Macaca mulatta: one gene and its partners. The protein of the gene in region 1 purifies or fractionates together with the protein of each later gene. This does not show direct contact. Links are inferred from orthologs where the notes say so. Each region holds a gene or a part of one and is shown on either strand. Other genes may lie near its edges.

Region 1 (6,159 bases):
AAGCTACAAAGGAAGTGAAGAAATCAAAACATATCCTGAGAATAAGCTGTCAAGACATGGGTGGGAGGAGCCAACGGCAGCCAGCGAGGGTGGAGGCGGGGCCTCCCAGGCCACTCCTTCTAGGAGAAGTGGGGTCTGGGCACTGCGGGTCCACGCCCACCCTGAGACCACACTCCCTTCTCATGTGTTGCCCCCGTGCACAGAGACACGCACATGGCTGTCCTAGGGAGACTTAAGGGGATCCTGCAGCCCAGAACTCCCAACCACACAGTCACAGAGCCTGGGGGCACGCACTGAGCGAGGGCAGAGTCCCTGGCTGCCACCCCACGTCAAGAACACAGAGCAGGAGACGACACGGGCAGGATGGGTGCCCACCCCCAGGAGCATGAGGAGAGGAAAGCCCGCAGGAGCTGGTGAACATGCAGGGAGCCAGGCGGAGGCCACCACTGCCAGGGCCAGGCTGTGGCTGCCACTCAGGCCTGGAGGACCCAGTCACTCACACCGTAAACGTCGTCAGTATGGCTTGGGAATTCCTTTTTAATCAATAGATGAGATTTCAGAGCTGTGCTAGGGAGGACTTCAAAAGGGAAAGGCAACTTGGAGCCATCCGCTGAGATGACCAGGGGGAAAGCTTGTCTGGCCCGTCTCCATGGCGGCCCAAGGACCCCGGCGCTCACAACCGCCGGGAGGGAGAAGCCGGTGGCCTGGGCCCTGCTCTGTGTCAGCTGTGACGAAGAGGCCCTGCTGGCCACTCCAATGGCCCCCCAACAAAACCCAGGAAGACAGAAAGACTGCAAGCACATACATGACCCACAGTCGGACAAAAACAAACGCAGACACACCCTGCTCAGCCGAGATCCTCTGCCGTCAGCTCTGGAGACAGTGATGAGTGTGTCCCAGCAGCTCAGGCCTTGGCCACAGGTGACCCACTATGCAGCCTGCCCGAGCCCACCAACCACCCCAGCGACACGTGGCTTCCCCCAGCCATAGGCACTGACGAGGGTGCGGCCACCCCAAAAAGAAAGACCCCAGCCCACAGGGAGCGCCATCGGACCCACCCCAGCCAACTCCCCATGTGACATGAAGGGTCCCAGCCTGTGAGGTCTGTCTGCAGCTCTGCCACGAGCATCCGTCCCCAGCCCACAGGTCTGCAGGCAGCTGCCACCTGAGCCCTGGCCTGGCAGGGTCAGAAGCACCCCTGCACACACACACGCACACACACAGGCACACGCACATGCACCCTCCGCAGCCCCCTCCACGCAGAGGCGACAGTCCCTCGCTTCCATCCACAGCCCCTCCTCCCCACGATCTGACACTCTGCTGGAGGGGCGCCCAGAGAAAACCGGGCTGGAGCATCTATTCACAGATTCAGAAAAAAAAAGTTTGATGCAATAGCTGAATTAATTAGGCCTCCCAAGAATAGCTGAGCCAATGCAGCATTCTGTGTGTGCAATTTAATAAGCCTGGATATTTAAAAGAAAAGTTACACATACTTGGGGAGGTATGCAACGGAAAGTTCCTGAGGACCCCACTGAGTAATTTCGGCGCCTCGTGGCCTGGGAGCTGCCCATGCCGGATCCCGTAGATCCTCCAACTGGCAAACTACAAAGCCAGGCCAGCGGCCTCCCTCCCCGGCGCACCCCTCTGCGTTTCAGAAGGAGAGAAGGAAATGGGTGAGTCCAAATCCCAAGCCGCCAGTAACTCCAGCATGTGGGCCCAGGGGCCTGCTGACCAGGCCCTCAGCCGGGTGCCAAGTGGCCCTCACCCCACACGGGGCACTCTGGGATTTGGTCCCTGGCAGGCCCAGGGAGACCAACCAGCACAGTGCTGGAGCCGCCCAGTCTCAGGCCCCTGTCGCTGCAGCCTGAACACCTGGCTTCATTTTGTGTCTCTGTCCCAAAACTTCAAGGCAACAAACATGGACCGGGAGCCAGTAACAAAACCAGGCCTCGTCTCGCCCAAGCTCTGTCTCCTGGGGCCCAAGGGCAGGCAGCCCTCCGTCTTCGAGGCTGGGTGCCTTCGGGGTGAGGGCAGTCACCTCCACCCCAACCCCAAGGAAGACCTGGGCCTGAGGCATCCGGCTGGGGCCCAACTGGAGCTAACTTCCCTGACCTCGGAGCAGGCCGCTTTCCCGGGAGCATAGGAGGCCTGTGCCTTCCTATCCTATCTGGGCAAAGGCTATGGGCCTGTGGGCCTTCCCCACACACCAGGCCTAGCCCCCACCCCACCGACACAGCCCCCACTCCAGGCTCCTCCTGGGGGAAAGGGCAGGAGGGCCTTCCTACTAAACCCTCTGGCCCTGCCAAGGGGAACACTCTGAATTTCCCTAAAACAAAGCAAAGACTTGACACATGGGGCACGGCAGAAACACAGGTCCCAGCCTTTGGAGACCAGAGCCTGTGGCCCAGAAGGGTCCCCCACCGCAAGCACATCCACCCCTGCTCCCAGGCCTGGGGCCACTCACCCGGGGCACCCGCCGCTTGTACTTGTTGCCGTAGTCGAACTTCTCCTTCACGTCGTCCAGGCAGCGACCGAGGCGCGCCTGCTCCTCCTTGCCCGTGTAGTCCTGGCTCAGCAGGATGTAGGCCCGCCAGTTGGCCGAGTCGAAGCCCCAGTGGCAGGTCCGGTTCTCCAGGGCCTTGTGCGAGTGCACCACGAACTTGTGCGGCGGGTACATGAGGCGGCAGTCCAGGCACTGGATGCAGGCGGCGCTCGGGCTGCTGTAGAGCTCCGGCACCAGCAGCCCCTTACACTTGCCGAAGCACTCGTGGTACACGCGGACGCTGCGCTCGCTGAGCTCCAGGCCCAGCGCCAGGCTGGCGGCCAGCTCCTTCTTGCAGGGCGGCGGGTAGGCGCCGCCGTAGAGCAGCGCGTTGCACAGGCGCTCGGCGTCCGTCTTGGTGATGAGCCCGCACGAGGGCGCCGAGAAGGGCAGGATGCCCATGACTTTGAGGATCTCCAGCTGGTCGGCCGTGCAGCGCGAGCAGTAGATGTGGAGCTCGTCGCACACCGAGTTGATCTGCTGCAGCGAGAAGTCGCGCAGCACCGAGTTGAGGATCTGCGGCAGACACAGACGCTTCTCGCCTCCCACCACGAAGCACGAGATGGTCTCGCCTTCTAGCACGGTCTCGCAGCGCTCAGTGGAGCGATCGGACGGCATGAAGAAGGGACCGGGCAGCACGGGCGGCGGCGGCTGGATGGCGGGCAGGTGCAGCACGGGCGGCGGCTCGGTGGCTGCGGGCACCGGCGCCGGCACCGCGGCCGCGCCCGCCTCCTTGGCGCTCTCCTTCTTGTAGGCCTCCTGCGCCCAGCGCGCCGAGAAGGCGGCCGGGCCGCCCAGCGAGCTCATAGAGCTCAGGTGGAACTGCTCCAGCGTCTTCTGCAGCCCCGGGTGCGGCTGGAAGCAGCCGCGGCCGCCTGCCGCCGCCTCCATGGTGCGCTCCGTCTCCCCCGGCCGCTCCCGCTCCCGCGCGCCCGGGCCCCCCCGGCCCCCGCCGCCGCCCCGCGCGCCCCGGCGGCGCCCGCGGCCCCGACCCCGGCCGCCCCCCGCCGCCGGCTCACGGCCGATCACGGCCGCGGCCTCGCCCGGGGGCGCGAAGGGGAAGGCGGGCGGGGCGAAGGGGTCCCGCCGCTGGAGCCCGCCGCCGCCCGGGCCCGGCGCCACATCCACGCGCCCCGCGCCGCGCCCGCCGCCGCCCGGGCCCCCCGCGCGTCCCCCGCGCGCCCCCCGGGCTCTAGGCGCGGGGCATGCCCCGGCGCGCGCCGCCAACGCCAACGCCAACGCTCGCGGGCCCGGGGCTCGCGGGGGGCGCGCGGGCAGGTGCCGGCGCCGCGAGGCGCGAATCGCCGCGGCGGCCGAGGCCGAGGGGCCCGGGAGGAGCGGGGGCGCGGGCGCGGGGCCCGCCGGGCCGTCCTCGCGCGGCGCGCCGCCGCCGCCCCGCTCCTCCCACCGCGCGGCGCCCGCCCGGCTCGTCCCGGCGGCGCTGGCCGGCCGCGTCGCGCCCGCCGCCGGCCCCCGGCCCGCCCGCCCGCCGGCTCCGCGGCCCGCCCGCCCGGCTTCCGGGGCGGCGGAGGCGCCTCTCGCCCGCGGCCCTCAGAGCGCGGCGGCGGCGCGGGGCTCGGGGCGCTCGGCGCACATCCTCCCGGCGGCTCGCTCCGGCTCGGACTGAGCGCCCGGCGCTGAGCTCACGCCGCCGCCGCGCCGCCCCGCCCCGCGCCGCCTGCTCCGCCCCGCGCCGGCCCCGCCCCCCGCGCTGTTTGTTGCCGTGCGTCCGCCTCAGCCCGAGCGCTGGCCAAGAATGTGACCCGCTCCCCAGTCGGGCTCTTCCAGGAACGCGCGCTCCCCGCCCGGACTCGGCCGCGCTCGGCTCCGCTCGCCCGGGACTCGGCCACGCTCGGACCCGCCCTGCCACGACTCGGCTACTCTCGGCCAGGACTCGGCTCCGCTCGGCCATGCTCGACTCCGCTCGGCCCCGCTCGGCCCCGCCCGTCGAAGGCCGCTCGGCGCGGGCGGAGGCGGAGGCGGCGGTGGCGCCCGGGGCCCCCCTTCCGGCCGAGGCCGCTTCCTGCGCGGCTGGGAAGGCGCCCGTCTCGCCGCCGCCGGGGCCCAGAAACCCACAGGCCCCCGCCACGACCGCAAACCAGCTGGGGGAGGCCGGGGGGCCACGCCACGCAGCCGGGGTTCTCCCAGGGTGGGACGCCACACAGCGGGGAGGCCCCGGACGCCTCTGGGGTCCCACACACTACCGGGACGCCACACGGTGACCTGGGGGTCACCACACACGAGGGGGACAGCGGCCACGCCCAGGGACCCCGCGCCGAGACAGGCGCCGCGCCGCGTGACCCTGGCGGCGCAGCCCAGCGGCCCCCGCTGCCCCGTGGCCCGGTGGCCGAGTGTCCGCGGCTCCCGCCCGCGCCAGCCCCGCCCCGCCCGACGGCCCCGGGCGGACTGTCCCTGATGCGCGGGCCAGGGGTTTCGGGCCTGAGAGGGGCGGCGTCGGGTGCCCCCGACGCGGCCGGTTTGCCAGCCACCCCGGCCAGGTGGCTTATCAGAATTTCGGTCCCGCGGGTCCCGGCGGGCAGGCCGGCGAGACCCTTGCCCTCCGCCCCAGGGCCTCGGAGCGCTGAGACGGCTTTCGGGGCCAGGTCGGCCCTCCACGCCTGGCCACGCAGTGGGAGAGACCCAAGCCATGGCAGGGCGGGAAGCGGGAAGCCCGGGGCCCCGAAGTTGGACAGTCGGCCAGGTGGTCTCCAGGGGAGGCAGCGTCCAGCGAGGCGTGCGGGCGCGGGGACGCAATGGTCGCGGGGCTGAGGGCTCGGACTGTGCTCACCTGAGGTGGAGAGACATTCCCGACGGGCCAGGGGTGCCCAAGCTGGCCTGGGTACTGCAATGTGAGTGACCTTTAGCTGGGACCTCCTGCCCCTCACTTCCCCAGTGGAGGCTGGAACCAGCCTCAAACCAGCACGCCTGGGCGCAGTTCCTACCCTGGGGGAGCCGGCCCAGCGCCCCTGTGCAGGTCTTGGCCCGACCTGCGGCAGGGCAGGTGTCTGGAGAGGGAGCCAGGACCTACCAGCAGGTGACCCCCAGCAGGTGACCCCAGGGCAGCTCCATACTCCCTCTCTCCGCTGCCTTGGGGTTTGTCTCCTTGTCATCACACTCCACGCTGTCCCCCGACTCTTCCCATTGACTCTGTTGGCCCCCACAATTGGAGGCCAGGCCTCTCTGTGCGTTCACACATCAGAAAGCTGGGTAAGAAGATCATTTCCTTAAAAGGGATATTTAACCCGGCAGGGTGGCTCACGCCTGTAATCCCACCACTTTGGGAGGATGAGGCAGGCTCATTGCTTGAGCCCAGGGGTTCAAGACTAACCTGGGAAATATAGTGAGACCCCGTCTACCAAAAAAATATATATTTTTTTTAATTAGCCGGGCATGGTGGCCTGCACCTGTGGTCTCAGCTACTTGGGAAGCTGAGGTGGGAAGATTGCTTGAGCCCAGAAGGTTGGGGCTGCAGGGAGCTGTCCTTGAGCCACTGCACTCCCTCCTGGGTGACAGGGACACACCCTTTTTTTGAGACAGACCCTGTCTCTAAAAAAAAAAAAAAGGCCAGGCACTGTGGCTTACCCGTGTAATCCCAGCACTTTGGGAGGCCAAGGCAG
Region 2 (5,565 bases), on another chromosome or scaffold:
TCTACTAAAAATAACAAAATTAGCTGAACATGGTGGTGGGTGCCTGTAATCCCAGCCTTCGGGATGCTAAGGCAGGAGAATCACTTGAACTCATGAGGCAAAAGTTGCAGTGAGCCGAGATCGTACTGCTGCACTCCAGCCTGGGCAACAGAGTGAGACTCTGTCTCCAAACAAAAAACAAAAACAAAACTTAGGGCCAAACCGTAACAATAATTTTGTCCCTCTTCCAGAAACAAATAGGTAATGACGGAGATGTGGTTTGATGTCAAAATACAGGTACCTTCTATACATCAATGACTTACAGGGCGAGTGGGACAGAACTGGAGCCATCTTTCTTTTTCTTTTTTTTTTTTTTGACAGGGTCTCGCTCTGTCACTTAGGCTGGAGTGCAGTGGAACAATCCTGGTTCACTATAACCTCCATCTCTCGGGTTCAAGCCATTCTCATGCTTCAGCCTCCTGCGTAGCTGGGATTACAGAAGTGTGCCACCATGCCAGGCTAATTTTTGTATTTTTGTTAGAGATGAGGTTTCACCATGTCCCCAGGCTGGTTTCGAACTCCTGGCCTCAAGTGATCTGCCCACCTCAGCCTCCCAAAGTGATGGGATTATAGGCGGAAGCCACTGTGCCCCGTGGGACTATCTTTCAAAATTCTGGACTAGTATTTATATAGAGGATATGATATGAGGTCTGTAATTTACTTCTGGGGTGGGGGTACGGAGGGTGACAAAGTAACATCAGCAAAATATGGAGGATTAAGTTTATTTATTTTATTGATTTTGAGACAGAGTCTTGCTCTGTCACCCAGACTACAGTGCAGTGGCATGCTCTCAGCTCACTGCATCCTCTGCCTCCCGGGTTCAAGACATTCTCCCACCTCAGTCTACCAAGTAGCTGGGACTACAGGTGCAACCACCATGCCCGGCTAATTTTTGTATTTTTAGTAGAGACGGGGTTTCATCATGTTGGCAGGGCTGGTCTCTTAACTCCTGACCTCAGGTGATCCGCCCGCCACGGCCTCCCAAAGTGCTGTGATTACAGGTGTGAGCCACTGTCCCCGGCCTGATTGAGTTCACCTAAGAGCTCATTTTACTATTTTTAAAATTCAGGATCACCCCACTCCAGGAATTCCCAATTGCACTGCATTTATGTTTCTATCCATCTGCTAAAACTGAGCCCATGGAAACCAGAATTGATTGCTTATTCATCTCTGATCCTAGCTCCTAGTACTATTTATAGTTCTAGTAGGCATGCTGAATAAGCAAGGATTACAAAGAGTTTGGTGGTCAATGACAAGTTTTGAAGCTATAGTAAGGAGAGATGGGACTATATGAATACAAGGTATTGTTTGAGGGAAACAGGCAGTGGGAGAAGTGGAAAATGGAGGCAGGAGGTATAAGTTGAAACCAGGATAGTAAACTAGGGAACTAGTCAAACAGCTTAGGTATAAAGGTAAAGTTTAGATTTAAAATAGTAGAATGAGGAATAGAAAAGGCTATGACAGCTATAAAGCAGGAATCAACAGGTCTTAGAGAGTCTCACCTGCATTTAACAAAGGTAATTTCCAGAAATCAAAGCTGTGCTAAACATAGACTAGAGTCCTCTCACAGATGTAGAAAACCCCAGCTCACCTCATCATAGATACTCTCAATCTCATTGAGTAAGCTCTTAGACCTCAGGACCTTTGTGTCATTCTGTTTAAAGTTGATCCCCTGGTGGTCCAGAGACTTCAAGTAGTATTTCTCATTTTGTTCTCGCCATACTTTGTTAAAGCCTCGCTGAGCTTCTCGCCATTCTTCCTCTTTCATCTTCAACCTAGTGAAGTGGGAAGGGATGGAAACAACATATGGGAATTCAGAGGGTTTAGAAGAAAGAAATTTGCCAGGTTTACTTTCTTTCAAGAAAAGTCAAAGCTATATTAGGTCTGTCAAAATTATTGGCAACTTGGGATGTTATCAAACCAGTCTTGAACTCTGTTTCATGAGGAAATTACTTATCTAAGACTTATTTTGGGGAAATGAGTTATCTCAAAGTCAAATAATTTACCTAGAATGGTTACTTATCAAACAGCATTCCAGGGAATACCTTTGAGATGTAAGTATTCCTTGCAAAAAGAGTTCTTGTTTCTCTGCTGTAGGACTTTGTAAAATGTTCACAATGCTAATAGAAACACAGAAGTCCAAGAGCAGAGAACTTGCACAGTTATGTTCCTCTGGATACAGTCTGGAAAGTTCTGATCAGAACTGATTCTAATAAACCAGAAGAGAACAGGCTAAGACAAAAAAACAGCACTAAAACTGAAGAATAACCTATATTTCAAAAGCCAGAAGTTAAATACTACAGGCAAGAAGAAGAAACCATCAATCTGTGCCAGCTCTTGAGGGGAAGATGAGGGAGGACAAATAAAATCTGGGTATTTGTGAACTGTGCAGCAACTAAGAATTAGTTTTTACCAGATGATACTGAGAGAACCAAGCTCCTAACAAAGGATTTACAGTGTGGTCAATAATGACATGGGGCTGGGCATGGTGTGGCTGGTGCCTGTAATGCTAGCACTTTGAGGAGGCCAAGGCAGGAGGACTGCTTGAGCCCAGGAGTTAGAGGCCAGCCTGGGAAACATAGCAAGACCTTATCTCTATTAAAAAAAAATAAAATAAAAATTAGCTGGGTGTGGTGGTGTACTCCTGTAGTCCCAGCTATTCAGGAGGCTGAGGTGGGAGGATCACCTGAGCCTGGGAAGTTGCGGCTGCAGTAAGCTGTGTTCTTACTACTGCACTCCAGCCTGGGTGAAAGAGAGAGATCTTGTCTCAAACAAACAAACAAACAAAAAAACCACAAAGATGTTAACAACAGTTAGTCCTGAGCGTGGCAGGAACATGGGTGGTAATTATCTTCTTTTCTGTATTTTAAAATACTCCCCCAGGGTTGGGGAGAAAGAGAGGTCTCATGGGACAACCAGGTTGAAAATGAGAGACTTATTTAATGGGACACTGAACCAGTAATGAAGTACACACTAAAGCACTAAGGGCACATTTGCTCAGGTACCTTTTAAGGACAATCGGAACAGCAATGGAGGGATTCTTTCTCAGACCATCAATGATGTCAGCTGCTTTATCAGCATATATCCTCTGGAGTGCTTTTCTATGGATGACTTCTGATGTGCCCCCAAGGGTGTTGTCCAAGCGAAATTTGGCTTGTTCCTCAGCAGACAAGCGGGAAAGCTTCTTCTGTATTGCTTCCAGAACCCGGATTGTTGCCAGATTGGTCTCTAAAACTACATCAAGCTGAAGAGGAAGACAAAGAAGGGTATGCTCAGGACCCAAATCAGAATAGAATAGAGTAGTGATTAGAAAAATAAGGTAGGGAGTCAAACTCCTTGGATTTGAATCCTGGTTCTGCCCTACTAGCTACATAAGACTGTTTCTTTATCAGCAAAATAGGGATAACAGCACCTATTACTCTCACAAGCCTATTTCTGGATTAAATTATACAATCCACATAAAGTATTCAGCACAATACCTGGCACATAAGAACCACAGGATGAAGCTGGATAAACGGTAGTTATCACCACCACCACCTGCACCGTGTGCTTTGCTTAAGACTACTGATCTTAGACCGGAGGAACCTAACAAGAGATGACTTTACTGATACTTTTCCCTGAACTTTCCTGAATTGCTAAGATCCGTTATGAACAAACAATAACAATCAAAACAATACCAAAAGACGGCTCTGTCTTGAGAGTTTTTTTTTTAACTTGAAATATTTAAATATATTCAAATACTAAAATACTCAATAGCCTTGTTCCACATCCAGTAATAATAAGAGCAGTGACTATCATACCCTAAGGAGTTCACTGTTGTATCTGCGGGTAATGATTTAAATTCTTATTGGACTCCTAAATGAACAGTCTACAACCAAATGTTTGCAGAAGTGTTCCCTAAATTTTCTTGTTTTGGAAATGTGGTCATCATTTTGTCAATACTTCTGGCCCCTCTTGCTCTCCAATTACCGACAAAAAATGGACTAACTTCCTGACTCCCTTATGATTGGATAGGGTCATGTAACTAGTTCTGACAAATGAGTTGTTATGAGTTGAGAAGAAGTAATGTTTATCACTTCTAGGCTGGAGCATTTAAAGGTGTGAGATCCTTCTGAGATCTCTTTTCCTCCTAGTGACTAGCAACAATCATAATGGTGGCAATCCCTTGGCCTGAATCCCCAAGTGATTCTGATATGCCAAATCCCCTGCTAAACATCAATGTACATGTAGAATGATTAGAAATTAAACCCATTGGCTTTACAAGTCACTCAGATGTGGGAGCTGTCTGTACTGAAGCATTACTAACCTATCTTAATTGGTAAACATGTTCCTTCAAACTCGCTCATCCCACCAAATCTTAAACACATGCTTACCCCACTTCTTTCATCTTTGCCCTTGTAGTCATAAATGGGAAATGAAGTTGCCTCTCATTTGGAAGCATACCAGTTGAGAGGGGATAGGAACATTCTGTCAAAAACAGATGCCAAGCTCTGCTAACTCATCAGCTAACCTTACTAAACATAAGTAACAAAGAAATGCTTGGTTTTTTTTTTTTGAGACAGATCTCGCTCTGTAGCCCAGGCTGGAGTGCAGTGGCGCAATCTTGGCTCACTGCAAGCTCCGCCTCCCGGGTTCACGCCATTCTCCTGCCTCAGCCTCCTGAGTAGCTGGGACTATAGGCACCCGCCACCGCGCCCGGCTAATTTTTTGTATTTTTAGTAGAGACGGGGTTTCACCGTGGTCTCAATCTCCTGACCTCGTGATCCGCCCGCCTCGGCCTCCCAAAGTGCTGGGATTACAAGCGTGAGCCACCGCGCCCGGCTGAAATGTCTTCTTTAGCTTGATAGCACTCCCTATGGAAGTTAACATCTGTCATGATTTAGTTTTCTGCAAACAGGTGCACTACTTATAAATGCTGGGGCAAAGATGGCCTACCACCTGCCAGTGGCCAGGCAGCATGTGGCTCTTAATTAAAAACACACCAGAAACAGCTGAAGCAAGTGTGAGGATGGAAAGCTGGCAAAGAGCTAAAAGAGTACTTAAAAAAAAAAAAAAAAAAAAAAAAACAAGATACCTATCCATACAAATAAGCACAGCCAGTCAATTTAATGTAATAGATACACTAAATAGGATACATGTCATTTTACCTCTTTAGACAAACCAGACTTCCCTTTTTTAAAATGATAATGTAAACCAGACATATAAACACATTGGGGATTTTGAGCCCACTTTCAGTAGTCCCCCTCCTGATACAGGTGGTATGGGGCCCTCTACCACCTCATTTATTCACTCCACTCTTTCCTTCCTAACTACTTCAAAATAAAGTTCCTGGGACAGGCGCAGTGGCTCACGCTTGTAATCCCAGCACTTTGGGAGGCCAAGGCAGGTGGGTCACTTGAGGTTAGGCGTTCAAGACTAGCCTGGCCAACATGGTGAAACCCGTCTCCACTAACAATACAAAAAAAATTAGCCGGGTGTAGTGGCATGCACCTGTAGTTCCAGCTACTTGGGAGGCTGAGGCAGGAT
Region 3 (5,565 bases), on another chromosome or scaffold:
GCTGCATAGTGAAATTCATTATGTTATACCCTTAAGATTTGCATATACTTTATATGCTGTGTCTCAATAAAAATTTTAAAATAAAGCACAGTCCCACCTCTGTTCTGCTCAACACCCTCCCTGGCACCCTGCATGTTAACCAACTACTCTCATCAATGCAGGTTCTGTCAATTCTAACCTTGAAAATATAACTCATGCCCGGTGCAGTGCTCACGCCTGTAATCCTAGCACTTTGAGAGGCCGAAGCAGACGGATTGCCTGAGCTCAGGAGTTTGAGACCAACCTGGGCAACGTGGCAAAACTCAGTCTCTACTAAAAATAAAAAAATATATATATACATACATATATATATATATATGTATAGAGAGAGAGAGCCAGGTATGATGGCGCATGCCTGTAGTCCCAGCTACTCAGGAGGCTGAGGCAGGAGAATCGCTAGAACCCAGGTGGCAGAGCTTGCAGTGAGCCAAGATCGTGCCACTGCACCCCAGCCTGGGCGACAGAGCAAGACTCCATCTCAAAAAAGAAAAAAAACCATATATATGTGTGTGTGTGTTGAAATAGCTGGGTTGTGGCTGTTGTTCTTCATTGCCACCTCCTTCACCTTAGTCTGGGCACCTAACCAACACCATGGCTTCCTAACTGGTCTTCCCACTTCCATCCCCATTCCCCCATCCAAACTTTTCTCTATTCAGCAGTCAGAATAGTCACTTTCAAACACAGATTGGATCATGTCACTTTCCTGCTTAAAATCCTTCAATGGTTTCCCATCATGTTTGGAATATAATTCAAACTCCTTACCAGGGTTTAAAGGCTCTGCACAATCTCACCATGGCCAGCTTCTTGGACCTCACCTCAAACTACCTCCAGCCTGCTCCCTGCATTCTACTTCGTCAGCTCATTCCTGCTACAGCCTTTTTTTTTTTTTTTTTTTTAAAGAAACAGTGTCTCACTCTGTTGCCCAGACTGAAGTCCAGTGGCATAATCATAGCTCACTGTAACCTCAAACTCCTGGGCTCAAGTGATCCTCCTGCCTCAGCTTCCTGAGTAGCTAGGACTATAGGCATGCACCATCATGCCCAGCTGATTTTGTTTTTTATTTTCTGTAGAGATGGCTCTTGCCACGTTGCCCAGGCTGGCCTCAAACTCCCAGCCTCAGGCGATTCTCCCACCTTGGCCTCTCAAAGTGTTGGGATTATAGGTGTGTGCCATTGGGCCCAGCCCTCAGAGCCTTTTGTGGGCCTTTGTCAATGCTTGGGACAGGCTTCTCTCTGCTCCTCTTATGACTCACTCCTTCTTAGTCTCCAGGTCTCAGCTCAAATTTTACTTCTTCAGAAAAACTTTTCCAAATCATGCTATCTAAAGTAGGTCCCCCATTGTATCCTGTGTCTCAGCTTTCTTTTTTCTTTCATAGAATCTATAACAATCTATTTCATTTGATTATTTATTTTTTGTCTGTTTCCTAAACTGTGAACTCCACAGGAGACTCCTCATTCCATCCCCATGATGTGGTACGATGCCTGGAACATAATACGTACTTAATAAAAATATATTGTGAATGAATGACCATCTAGGGAACTCTGTTCAAGATGACATTTCTAGTTCAAGTACAATTTATAGCTACTTTTGATTTCCAAGAAGAGATGAGGCCCATTCCCCATCTACCCCCACCCACGTACTGAAGTCCAAGGCCACTTGAAAACCTTGCGGAGAAGAAGGAGAGCAAGTCTCACCCATGCCCTCGGATGCTGAGGTTAAAGCAGCCCAATCGATCACAGCCCAGAGAGTCAGCTCCACACTGCAAAAAGCAAAAGCCCAGGCAAGTGCAGTGAGATAACTGATCAGAACATCACAGATACCCCGTCTATCACCAACCTAAAGAACCTCCTCTTCCCTTGTCCTCTTTCCCCAAGCCCAGGCAGAACACTCCTGAGGAGGAACTGACAGTATTACCTGGAGCACAATGCACGTGGGTTGGTAGAAGTCCACTACCTGGTTGATAACCGGCTGGAAAAGGTGCTTGTAACCTGGGAGAGGGCCAAAGATGGGCACCTGGCACCCCAAGGGGATGGGGAGACAGGGAACAAAAGGAAAAAGGGGGTTGAGCGAGCATGTAGCCCAGGAAAGGGGCAACCCAAAAGAACCGAATCATTGGTCTGAAACTTCTGGAAGGGATCCCAGACTGCTATGGGCGACTGATGAAAGCCAATGACTTTTCCCAGAAAAATGCACATATACATGATATGTTGCATACAATTCCCAGGGATTCATGGTCCCTCTGAAGGCCCTTCATCCTTAAGGACACCTGGCCCCAACAGCAGACAATACGAGGCAGAAGAGGTTACTTCAAGGAGAAAAAGAAGGGGCCTAGGGAACAGAAGGAAGACTTCAGTACTTACTCTGGTCATCAATGCCATCCCGCAGGGGCACATTCAGACAGTAGTAGCGGCCACTCTCTGCCCCGACTTCATACATGTCACCTATAGGGAAGCGGGTGGTGGTAGCCACACATGGGAAGCACCCACAGCCCAGCTGTTTCAACCCCAATCTGCACTCTGGGAGCCTCTCACTGCATCTATGTAGCTTCACCATAAACTCCCTAGAGCCACTAAATCTCCTGCAGCTCGCATTCATTTGGCAAAGAGTTTTGGGGGATCTACTCTGAGCCAACTGTGTACTAGGCAGTAGGGACGCAGCAGTGAACGGAACTAATGAAATTTACGATATCCCACCAACCTTATATTCTTAGGGAGTAGGCATGAGGAGGGAGGCAATAAACAAAACAAAACAAAAAACCACAATAAACATAAATAGCAGTGAGTGTTCTGAGGGAATGAGGCTGATGTAACAGAGGAATGGGGAAGGAGGTGATTGTGACAACTGGGGTGGTCAGGAAAGGCTTCTCTGAGGAGGGGACACCTGAGATGAGACTAGAAGGCTGAGAAGGAGGCACTCATAGTAAAGAGCTGAAGGGTGCAAATGGGAAAGTAATCCCTATTCCCATACCTGTGCCAGGGAAGAAGTAATTTCCGTATTTGTGGAAGGACACCGTCATGACCCGGTCAGTGAGGTAGAAAGCTTCCTGAACCCCGTCACCATGGTGGATGTCAATATCAATGTAAAGCACCCGAGGGTGGTACCTGGAGGGAAGCCAAAGCCAGGGTCTGAGCTAGAAGTGAACCCCTGACCCACTCCTCCCAAACACCGGGTCTCGTTTTGTGAAGAGTCTGCTTCTGCCCTGGTCACCTGAAACTTAATATCACCAGTTCCCTAAAGGCAACTGGGGGCTCCAGGCTAGAGGCTAGAGGCAGGGACAGAAGAGGGATATGCAGAGAAGGCTGAAATGTGAGCAGGCAGCAGGGAATCTGCAGCAGTGGAAGAGGCAGCCTGAATAAAGCATCAAGAACTTGGGAGAAGCTAGTCAGGGAGGAGGGAGGTCAAGGTCAGGGCTGAGTCTGAGAGACCTTCTCAGCCAAGAATCCCATAACTGCCCCCATCTCCTCCTGGGCTACTTACTTGAGCAGCTCCAGGATGCCAATCACAATGTCGTTGACATAGCAGAAGCCAGAGGCCTATGGCAAGACAGTGGTCTCATAAAGAGAGGAGCAATTCCCCTACCCAGCTGCCCCCACCATCATCCTAAACACCTACCCGAGGATGGCCACTGTCTTTCCCATCAACTCCTCACTCACCTCAAACTTCTTGGCATGGTGCAGACCACCAGCCCAGTTAATGGCAATATCACAGATCTGAAAGACAAACACCCAAGTCACAGTCCTTCCTGCCCACCCTTCAAGCTGGGAGCCCAGGATCAGGGTTAAATCCCGAGTCCAGGGATCTAGAGGAAAGGAGGAACAGGACTCGGGACTATGTCACCTTGTTGTTCAGCTGGGTTGCTCCTTGCAGAGATGCGCCTGTGTAACGCGAGCAGAACTCAAAGAGCCCGGGAAACACTGGGCTGCAGGGAAGAGGAATAAGTTGGAACCCTCCTGCCTCTGTCTGGGCCCTTCCCATACCTCCCTCCCCACCCCAGATTCCTCCAATCTCCATTTTTCAAGAGCCTTCTCTCCCCCTCCTACACACCTGTGCTATCTGCAAATTTATTCAACAAATATTTTGGATCAAACCATGTACCAAGCCCTGTGCAAGGCACTGGATGGGAAGTAAAGAAGCATTTAACTGTCAGGGAATTTGTATCCTAGCTGGGGAAAGAAGCAAGCAGCTTCCAGGTACTGAAGTACAATGTTAAAAGGAAATCAGTTGAAAGAAAAGATGAGCTCTGTTTTTCTTAGTCTCAGTGTAACACATTTTAACATAATGTTCAATAATATTCTTCACAGTCACACATTTTAAAGAAAGAATTGTATACCTACATATGTGAAACGGTGATGAGATAACCCACGAAAAGCCTGTGGCACAGTATACGGTATCTGCTAAGCCTTTAATAAATGTCAGTTATAATTATTACCATTGTTATTCTTTATAAAAAGCAAAGGCTTGAAGCCAGACACAAAAGGCTACTTACTGTATGACTCCATTTATGCAACATTCTGGAAAAGGTAAAATATAAGGACAGACATCAGATCAGTACTTGGCTGGATGTAGGTTGGAGAGAAGATATTAACTACAAAAGGGTGAGTGACCTTTGTCAGGTAATGGAAATTTCCTATACCTTGATACTTTTTTTTTAAATAGAGACAGGGTCTCACTATGTTGCCCAAGCTGGTCTCGAACTCCTAGGCGTAAGTGATCCTCCTGCCTTGGCCTTCCAAAGTGTTGGGACTACAGGTGTGAGCCATCGGCGCTGGCCCTACACCTTGATATATTCTATCAAAACTCTCTGAACTCTTACACCTAAAAAAGGTTAATTTTACTGTATGCAAGTTATACCTATATAAACCTGACTTTTTAAAGAGGAAAGGCTTAGGCAATCCCTAGTTTTAGGTCTCAAAAAAAAGAAAAATAGTGCAGCTGACACATTTGACCATGTGAAAAACAGAACTGTAGGGGCTTTTCGTTTATTTGTTTTTTGAGATGGAGTCTCGCTTTGTCACCCAGGCTGGGGTGCAGTGGCCTCACCGCAGCCTCCGCCTCCTGGGTTCAAGCAAGAATTGTAGAGTTTTACAGTTTCTCGAAAGGTTTGGAAAGAATTAGAGATTAATACCTAGAAAACTAAGCAAATGAAAAAATAATGCAATTGTCAGCTCCAGGAAAAACAAAAAGCTTTAGAAGAAAATAGATTAAATCACACTACACTATTTGGCTTGATAGTAAATGAATCTTTCAGAGTTGTAATAATGTAAACATAGAATACTGATTTATTTTTAAATTATTATGAAGCTGAAAGGGGAAAGGAAGCCAACGTGATGGTGTAAGAAGACTAAATGCTCACATCCCATACTAAGAGCTTAACAGATACTACCTAAAATTGACAGATGAAGAAATAGCAATGAGACAATACAGGAGGGCAGTATGATTACAAGCACAGATTCTGGAGCCAGACTACCTAGGTTCAAATTCCAGTTCTTTAACACCTACTAATGATAGTGAGGTTGTACAAACTGT
Region 4 (5,565 bases), on another chromosome or scaffold:
ATAATAATCTTACATTAATGCCAAAAAAGGTTTTATATTGCACAAAATAGCAAAAAAAAAAAAAAAAAAGTTTAATGGGCTCAGCTTATCAGTCAAATGACATGCTTGCTCCTGAAACATTTTTTTGCATAGTTCCTCTTATCCCCAGATCACCCCTGTCCAGGGTAGAAGCACTCATTTCTCAGATCTGGAAGTGTTGGCAGCCAACTCTCAGCTGTGTCTGTCTCTTCAGGACTATCCTCAGTTGAAAAGAGTCATCTGACCAGAGTCATATCCAGCAAGTTGCTCCATGTGAGGGTACAAAAGCCCAGCCCTGTAGGCCCAATTTGGGACAACTCCACAGGCCCATAGCAGCTCCAGAGTTCCTCAGGAATGGGAGAGACCTTGTTGCCACTCTAACACAGTCCAACTTTCCTCTCTGCCCAATCCTGCTGTTTTCATTCTCCCACAGGTGCTGATGTCAATAAACTTTCTGCATGTACATTCCCACTTCAGAGTCTTCCTCAGACAGACTGACGGCAACAATGCCTCACATTATAGCTAATTGCATCTGTCTGCTCCTATGCTAGGATGGAGAACCCTGCGGAATACACCTTATTCATCTTATATCCAACACAGTGCCCACAGTGCCTCGCACATAGCAAATATACAAAACATTTGTGGAATTAAGTTATTTTCTTAAAACAGGTTCTTAAAATGTTTTGGTTTCAGGACCCCTTTATATGCTTAAATATTAAGGATCTCAAAGAGCTTTTCTTTTTGTGGGTTATATCTTTAATGCATTAGAAATTAAAACGAGAAACATAAAAGTTGCGATTAGTCCATGTAAAAATAAAATACCATGCCATTATTAAAAACAACATTCTTGTAAAAAAAAAAAAAAAAACTAGTTTCCAAAACAAAAATATATTTGTGAGAAGAGTGGCACTGTTTCACACTTTTACAAATCTCCTGAATGCCTACCTTGACAGAAGACAGCTAGATTATTATAGCTTACTCTGCATTACATCTATTGTGGTATGTTCTTCTGGTTGAGATAAATGAAAAAAAAAAACCTTGTTTCACACATATGTGTAGCACTACTTTGATCGCTTTGGATCACTGTGGAAACTCCTCCTCAATACCACACCAAAACTGACTTTTCAGTTCTGGCCAAAACTGGTAGTAGTTTTCTAAAGGTTGGTTGCAGAGCAAAATCTGAAACTTTACCATTAAACTTTTTGTACCCTGCTACATTAAAATCCATTTGTCTGTCTTGTACTTTGAATGACTCTTTTACTCATGCATGCTTTTGTAGGATCATACTTAAGACCTTTCAAATGTGACAGGCTTGCTTCATTCACTTAAAAACATGGCTGGGTGATGTGGCACACAACTGTAGTCCCAGCTACTCAGGAGCCTGAGGCAGAAGAATCACTTGAGCCCAGGAGTTTGAGTCCAACCTGAACAACACAGCAAGACTCTGTCTCTGAAAAATTTAAGAAAAAAGATTAAAAAAAAAAAAAAAAAAAAAAAGACTGCCAAAGACCTGAGTGTGGGTAACTGTGTTAATGATTCTTTCAAGTAAAACCTATTCCATGGCTGGTGTGGTGGCTCACACCTGTAATCCCAGTACCTTGGGAGGCCGAGGCCGAGGCGGTGGATCGCCTGAGGTCAGGAATTCGAGACCAGCCTGGCCAACATGATGAAACCTCGTCTCTACTAAAAATACAAAAATTAGTTGGGCATGGTGGCAGGTACCTGTAATCCCAGCTACTCCAGAGGCTGAGGCAGGACAATTGCTTGAACCCAAGAGGTGGAGGCTGTAGTGAGCTGAGACTGCACCACTGCACTCCAGCCAGGGGACTCCGTCTCAAAAAAAAACAAACGAACAAAAGAAAAAAAACAAGAAACAAAAAAAGTATTCCATGATAAAAAGTGACTAGCTAGCTTATAACTCAAAACAATATGCTTTTTCTCAAGAAAATTACCATACTTCGACAAGAAACTGAAGTGCTTTATGTGGATTTCCTATTTTGTCAAATTATTAAGATGATGTGTACCGAAAAGTCAAGATGTAATAAAACTAATAATTTTAATGTTTCATCAAGAACATCCGTTTTTTAAAAAGCATTTTGGAGAAATAGAGTCTAGCTGTGTTGCCCAGGTGGGTCTCTAATTCCTGGCCTCAAGAGATTCCCTCCACCTCAGCCTCCCAAAGTGCTGGAATTACAGATGTGAGCTACCACACCAGGTCGAGAATATTCTTTCTTTCTTTCTTTCTTTTAATTGAGACACAGTCTCGCACTGTTGCATGGGTTGGAATGCAATGGCGCAATCTCGGCTCACAGCAACCTCCACCTCCTGGGTTCAAGCAATTCTTCTGCCTCGGTCTCCCAACTAGCTGGGATTAAAGGCACCTACCACCACGTCTGGCGAATTTTTTGTGTTTTTAGTAGAGACAGGGTTTCACTCTATTGGTCAGGCTGGTCTTGAACTCCTGACCTCGTGATCTGCCCTCCTTGGCCTCCCAAAATGCTGGGATTACAGGTGTGGTTAAGTAAAACTAGCATTTCTTAAACTGCAAGGGTGTGGTGGTGAGGAATCCAGCAAGTATCTGTGGAATTTGTACCACCGCCCCGACTTGTGTAAAGGCTCTAGCAGTTTAATCCACCACTGTTTCTGGACCATCTGTACTAATATCAATACAGTGGAAAAGGCTCTCAGGATCCTGTGAGGTTCACACACCACACTTTCAAAACTGCTTCTCTAAAACAGAGTTACTGCCAATTGTGATATCTTTTGAAATACCAATTGCACTCTTCTTCAGAAAGACAAAAGTTCTTTTGGCTTTAAATATCAAGAACCAAACAAGTTAAGGGGAGGTGACTAATGCAGTGCATACTTCAATAACAGACAGGGCCAATTTCCATACCTGACACTGAGAGGGGACTCCACGGAGAGCCCCAGGAGGGCACAAGCATCCCGTGTAAAGATGTCACAGATATCAGCCCACTGGTTTGCATCAAGTAGGTGAACATACGGTGAGTTCTCAATCCCTTGTCTCAGGTACACAAGGCTTCCCATCAAAACCTGAATGTCTAAAAAAAGTACCAGCAAGAAAGCATTAGTTTGCTTGCAGTAATAAGCTGCGAAAAGCAAGAATACCCCCACCCATACTGATACAGCCTAAAATAATGTATTAACAGGTCTTTAAAATTCTGGTCCTTAAGCTGGGTTTCTTCCTTCATCTTAAACAGCATGGAGAGAAAAGGAAAGGAGTGAAAATACTGAACTTATAATTTAAATTCTTATATACAGCATAGTATAATTACCATTACCTACAGGAGTAACAATTATGTCATCACATTATCTCTGATTGCAGAGTTAATGTATTCCTACACAAATACGTGGGGTTAACATTTGCTGCCTTGGCTCTCTGACACTTTGTTGTGGCAAAACAAGCAGCACACAGCCAGGTTGGGGTAGACGAGAGCAAGTGCACACCTTGCTCTTTCTCAGATCTCCTCTCAGTTTAATATGGAATTCCAAAATCTGCAACATCTCTGACTTCTAAGAGGCTTTAATATTTTTGTTTTTGTTCTAGAGCCAGTCAGAGCTTTTCCTGTGATTATCAACTACAACTGTTTACTGGCAAACATGTATTAGCTCTAGATAAGAACCATTAAGTTGGGCTGGGCGCGGCGACTCACGCCTGTAATCACAGCACTTTGGGAGGCTGAGGCGGGTGGATCATGAGGTCAGGAGATCCAGACCATCCTGGCTGACACAGTGAAACCCCATCTCTACTAAAAATACAAAAAATTAGCCAGGCATGGTGGCGGGCACCTATAGTCCCAGCTACTCGGGAGGCTGAGGCAGGAGAATGGCGTGAACCCGGGAGGTGGAGCTTGCAGTGAGCCGAGATCGCGCCACGGCACTCCAGCCTCGGGGACAGAGCGAGACTGCGTCTCAAAAACAAAAAACAAAAACAAAAAACAAAACAAACAAATAAGAACCGTTAAGTTATAGTGGTGGCTATAGCCCTGTTTCAAACATTAATAACATCTGACTCCAGACTCACCTTTTTGATGATTCAGGGCAAATGGCTGAAAATTTTTAGCATACTGTAATGCCTCTCGTTGATTTGTGGTTCCACCCATTAACAAGCTAATAAAGTACAGTCTGTGTAGCTTAAATTCCAAGGAGCTGTTTTGAGCTATAAGCATTTCCCGGTTTGATACTGCCCACCTAAAGAAAAGGCAAAAAAAAACTTTAAGAATAATCAAAAGCATAAGCAATGTGTCTTAAAAACTATTTGAAACGCAGTAAACAAACAGTTTAACAACGCAGTACCTGTAACGCAGTAAAACAAAACGCAGTAAAACAAAAAAGGGGCTTGGTCTGCCATCTTGTGGAAGTCTATGGTAACATCAATCCCTAGGGCCCAGACTTTTGTCAGGAAAGTAACCACCAATAACTACACCTGCAGAGGCCCTTCAGCCAGTGAAAGAAAAAAGCATTAAAGCAGATGACAATCACTAGAATGACTCTGATGTGTCACATGATGCATCTGAACTTGCACAGGACCACACTTTGAAGCGGTGTCAGCCGTGAGATTCACAATTAGATTGCCTAGATCCACTGCCCTTTTCCTGTAAAACTGGCCTGATATATACAAGCATGAATCAAAGATCCTGAAAGGCAACTATACTTTTAAACTTTCAATAGTTGCAAGATTTTGTGTTATTCACTTTGGGATTAAAAACAGTAAATACCGTTATTTCCCCCTAAGGTGCTTTCAGTCTGATCAGGAAGATAAAGCTAGACAAATATCATACAGTAAATCTTACTGTGCAAAATGATTTGTACAAACATAGTTCTAGTAAGGGAAAAAACAAGATTCTATTTTAACTGAGCCAAAAATACAGCACCTCAGGCTTCTACAGAACAAACAGTTGGAATAATCAATCTTGAACTGGTACTACCAGGTCAGGTGAGGGCAAAGGCAGGAAAATATATAGTTAGCTGTTAAAATCAAATTTTGCGATAAGGGAATAAGGAAACATTACTTTATTTCTCTAAATATATTAACATATAGAAGCTGTTAGCATTATATTATTTAATTTGACCATCAGTTAAGACAAATACTCCTCACTTAACCCAATTCACCAAAGACCACTGGAATCTGAACTGGGTAAGAATATAAAATCTGAGTAACTCCACCAACTACAAGAGTAAAACCTTTCAAGTTATTTATAATGAATTTGCTGATTGGGATTGGACTTCACAGAGCTGCACTTTTACCGGGTCCTAACCTTCCCAGAAAGGGCTGCACATGCAGATAAACATTCTAATTAACTTGCTGATGTATTCACATCTTACAGTCAAATCATGACGCTTCTCTGACTTCAAAGTCAGTGATTTTTAAAAATATTAATCATCTGGATCTTGGAAATACTTACCTAAATTTGTAAGCCTTGGTTCCTTGCCTGGCACTAAAATGATGCAGTCAAGTGGCAACACCAAGTGAGGTAAACCTGCTGACAATAAGGTACTTTTTTTTTTGAGACAGGGTCTCACTCT

The links. The genes of interacting proteins can lie anywhere in the genome.
Region 2: the proteins of SKI (region 1) and SIN3A purify together in Homo sapiens (affinity purification with western blotting; 3 studies listed by BioGRID and IntAct, with this or other methods). This does not show direct contact. The link is inferred for Macaca mulatta from reciprocal best matches to the Homo sapiens genes SKI and SIN3A.
Region 3: the proteins of SKI (region 1) and HDAC3 purify together in Homo sapiens (affinity purification with western blotting; 4 studies listed by BioGRID and IntAct, with this or other methods). This does not show direct contact. The link is inferred for Macaca mulatta from reciprocal best matches to the Homo sapiens genes SKI and HDAC3.
Region 4: the proteins of SKI (region 1) and RMND5A purify together in Homo sapiens (affinity purification with mass spectrometry; 3 studies listed by BioGRID and IntAct, counting the BioPlex papers as one, with this or other methods). This does not show direct contact. The link is inferred for Macaca mulatta from reciprocal best matches to the Homo sapiens genes SKI and RMND5A.

The regions. Positions count from the first base shown.
Region 1 is NC_133406.1:238,450,031-238,456,189, forward strand, and holds the start of SKI (ski oncogene), read right to left. Parts: upstream 3,698-6,159; 5' UTR 3,434-3,697; coding exon 2,465-3,433; intron 1-2,464. UniProt on the Homo sapiens protein: May play a role in terminal differentiation of skeletal muscle cells but not in the determination of cells to the myogenic lineage. Functions as a repressor of TGF-beta signaling.
Region 2 is NC_133412.1:53,435,766-53,441,330, forward strand, and holds part of SIN3A (paired amphipathic helix protein Sin3a), read right to left. Parts: exon of another isoform or gene 5,559-5,565; intron 3,284-5,558; coding exon 3,045-3,283; intron 1,815-3,044; coding exon 1,631-1,814; intron 1-1,630. UniProt on the Homo sapiens protein: Acts as a transcriptional repressor. Corepressor for REST. Interacts with MXI1 to repress MYC responsive genes and antagonize MYC oncogenic activities. Also interacts with MXD1-MAX heterodimers to repress transcription by tethering SIN3A to DNA.
Region 3 is NC_133411.1:150,470,652-150,476,216, forward strand, and holds part of HDAC3 (histone deacetylase 3), read right to left. Parts: intron 3,959-5,565; coding exon 3,877-3,958; intron 3,750-3,876; coding exon 3,693-3,749; intron 3,573-3,692; coding exon 3,517-3,572; intron 3,141-3,516; coding exon 3,007-3,140; intron 2,481-3,006; coding exon 2,400-2,480; intron 2,028-2,399; coding exon 1,954-2,027; intron 1,799-1,953; coding exon 1,734-1,798; intron 1-1,733. UniProt on the Homo sapiens protein: Histone deacetylase that catalyzes the deacetylation of lysine residues on the N-terminal part of the core histones (H2A, H2B, H3 and H4), and some other non-histone substrates.
Region 4 is NC_133418.1:26,268,795-26,274,359, forward strand, and holds part of RMND5A (E3 ubiquitin-protein transferase RMND5A), read right to left. Parts: intron 4,231-5,565; coding exon 4,064-4,230; intron 3,081-4,063; coding exon 2,915-3,080; intron 1-2,914.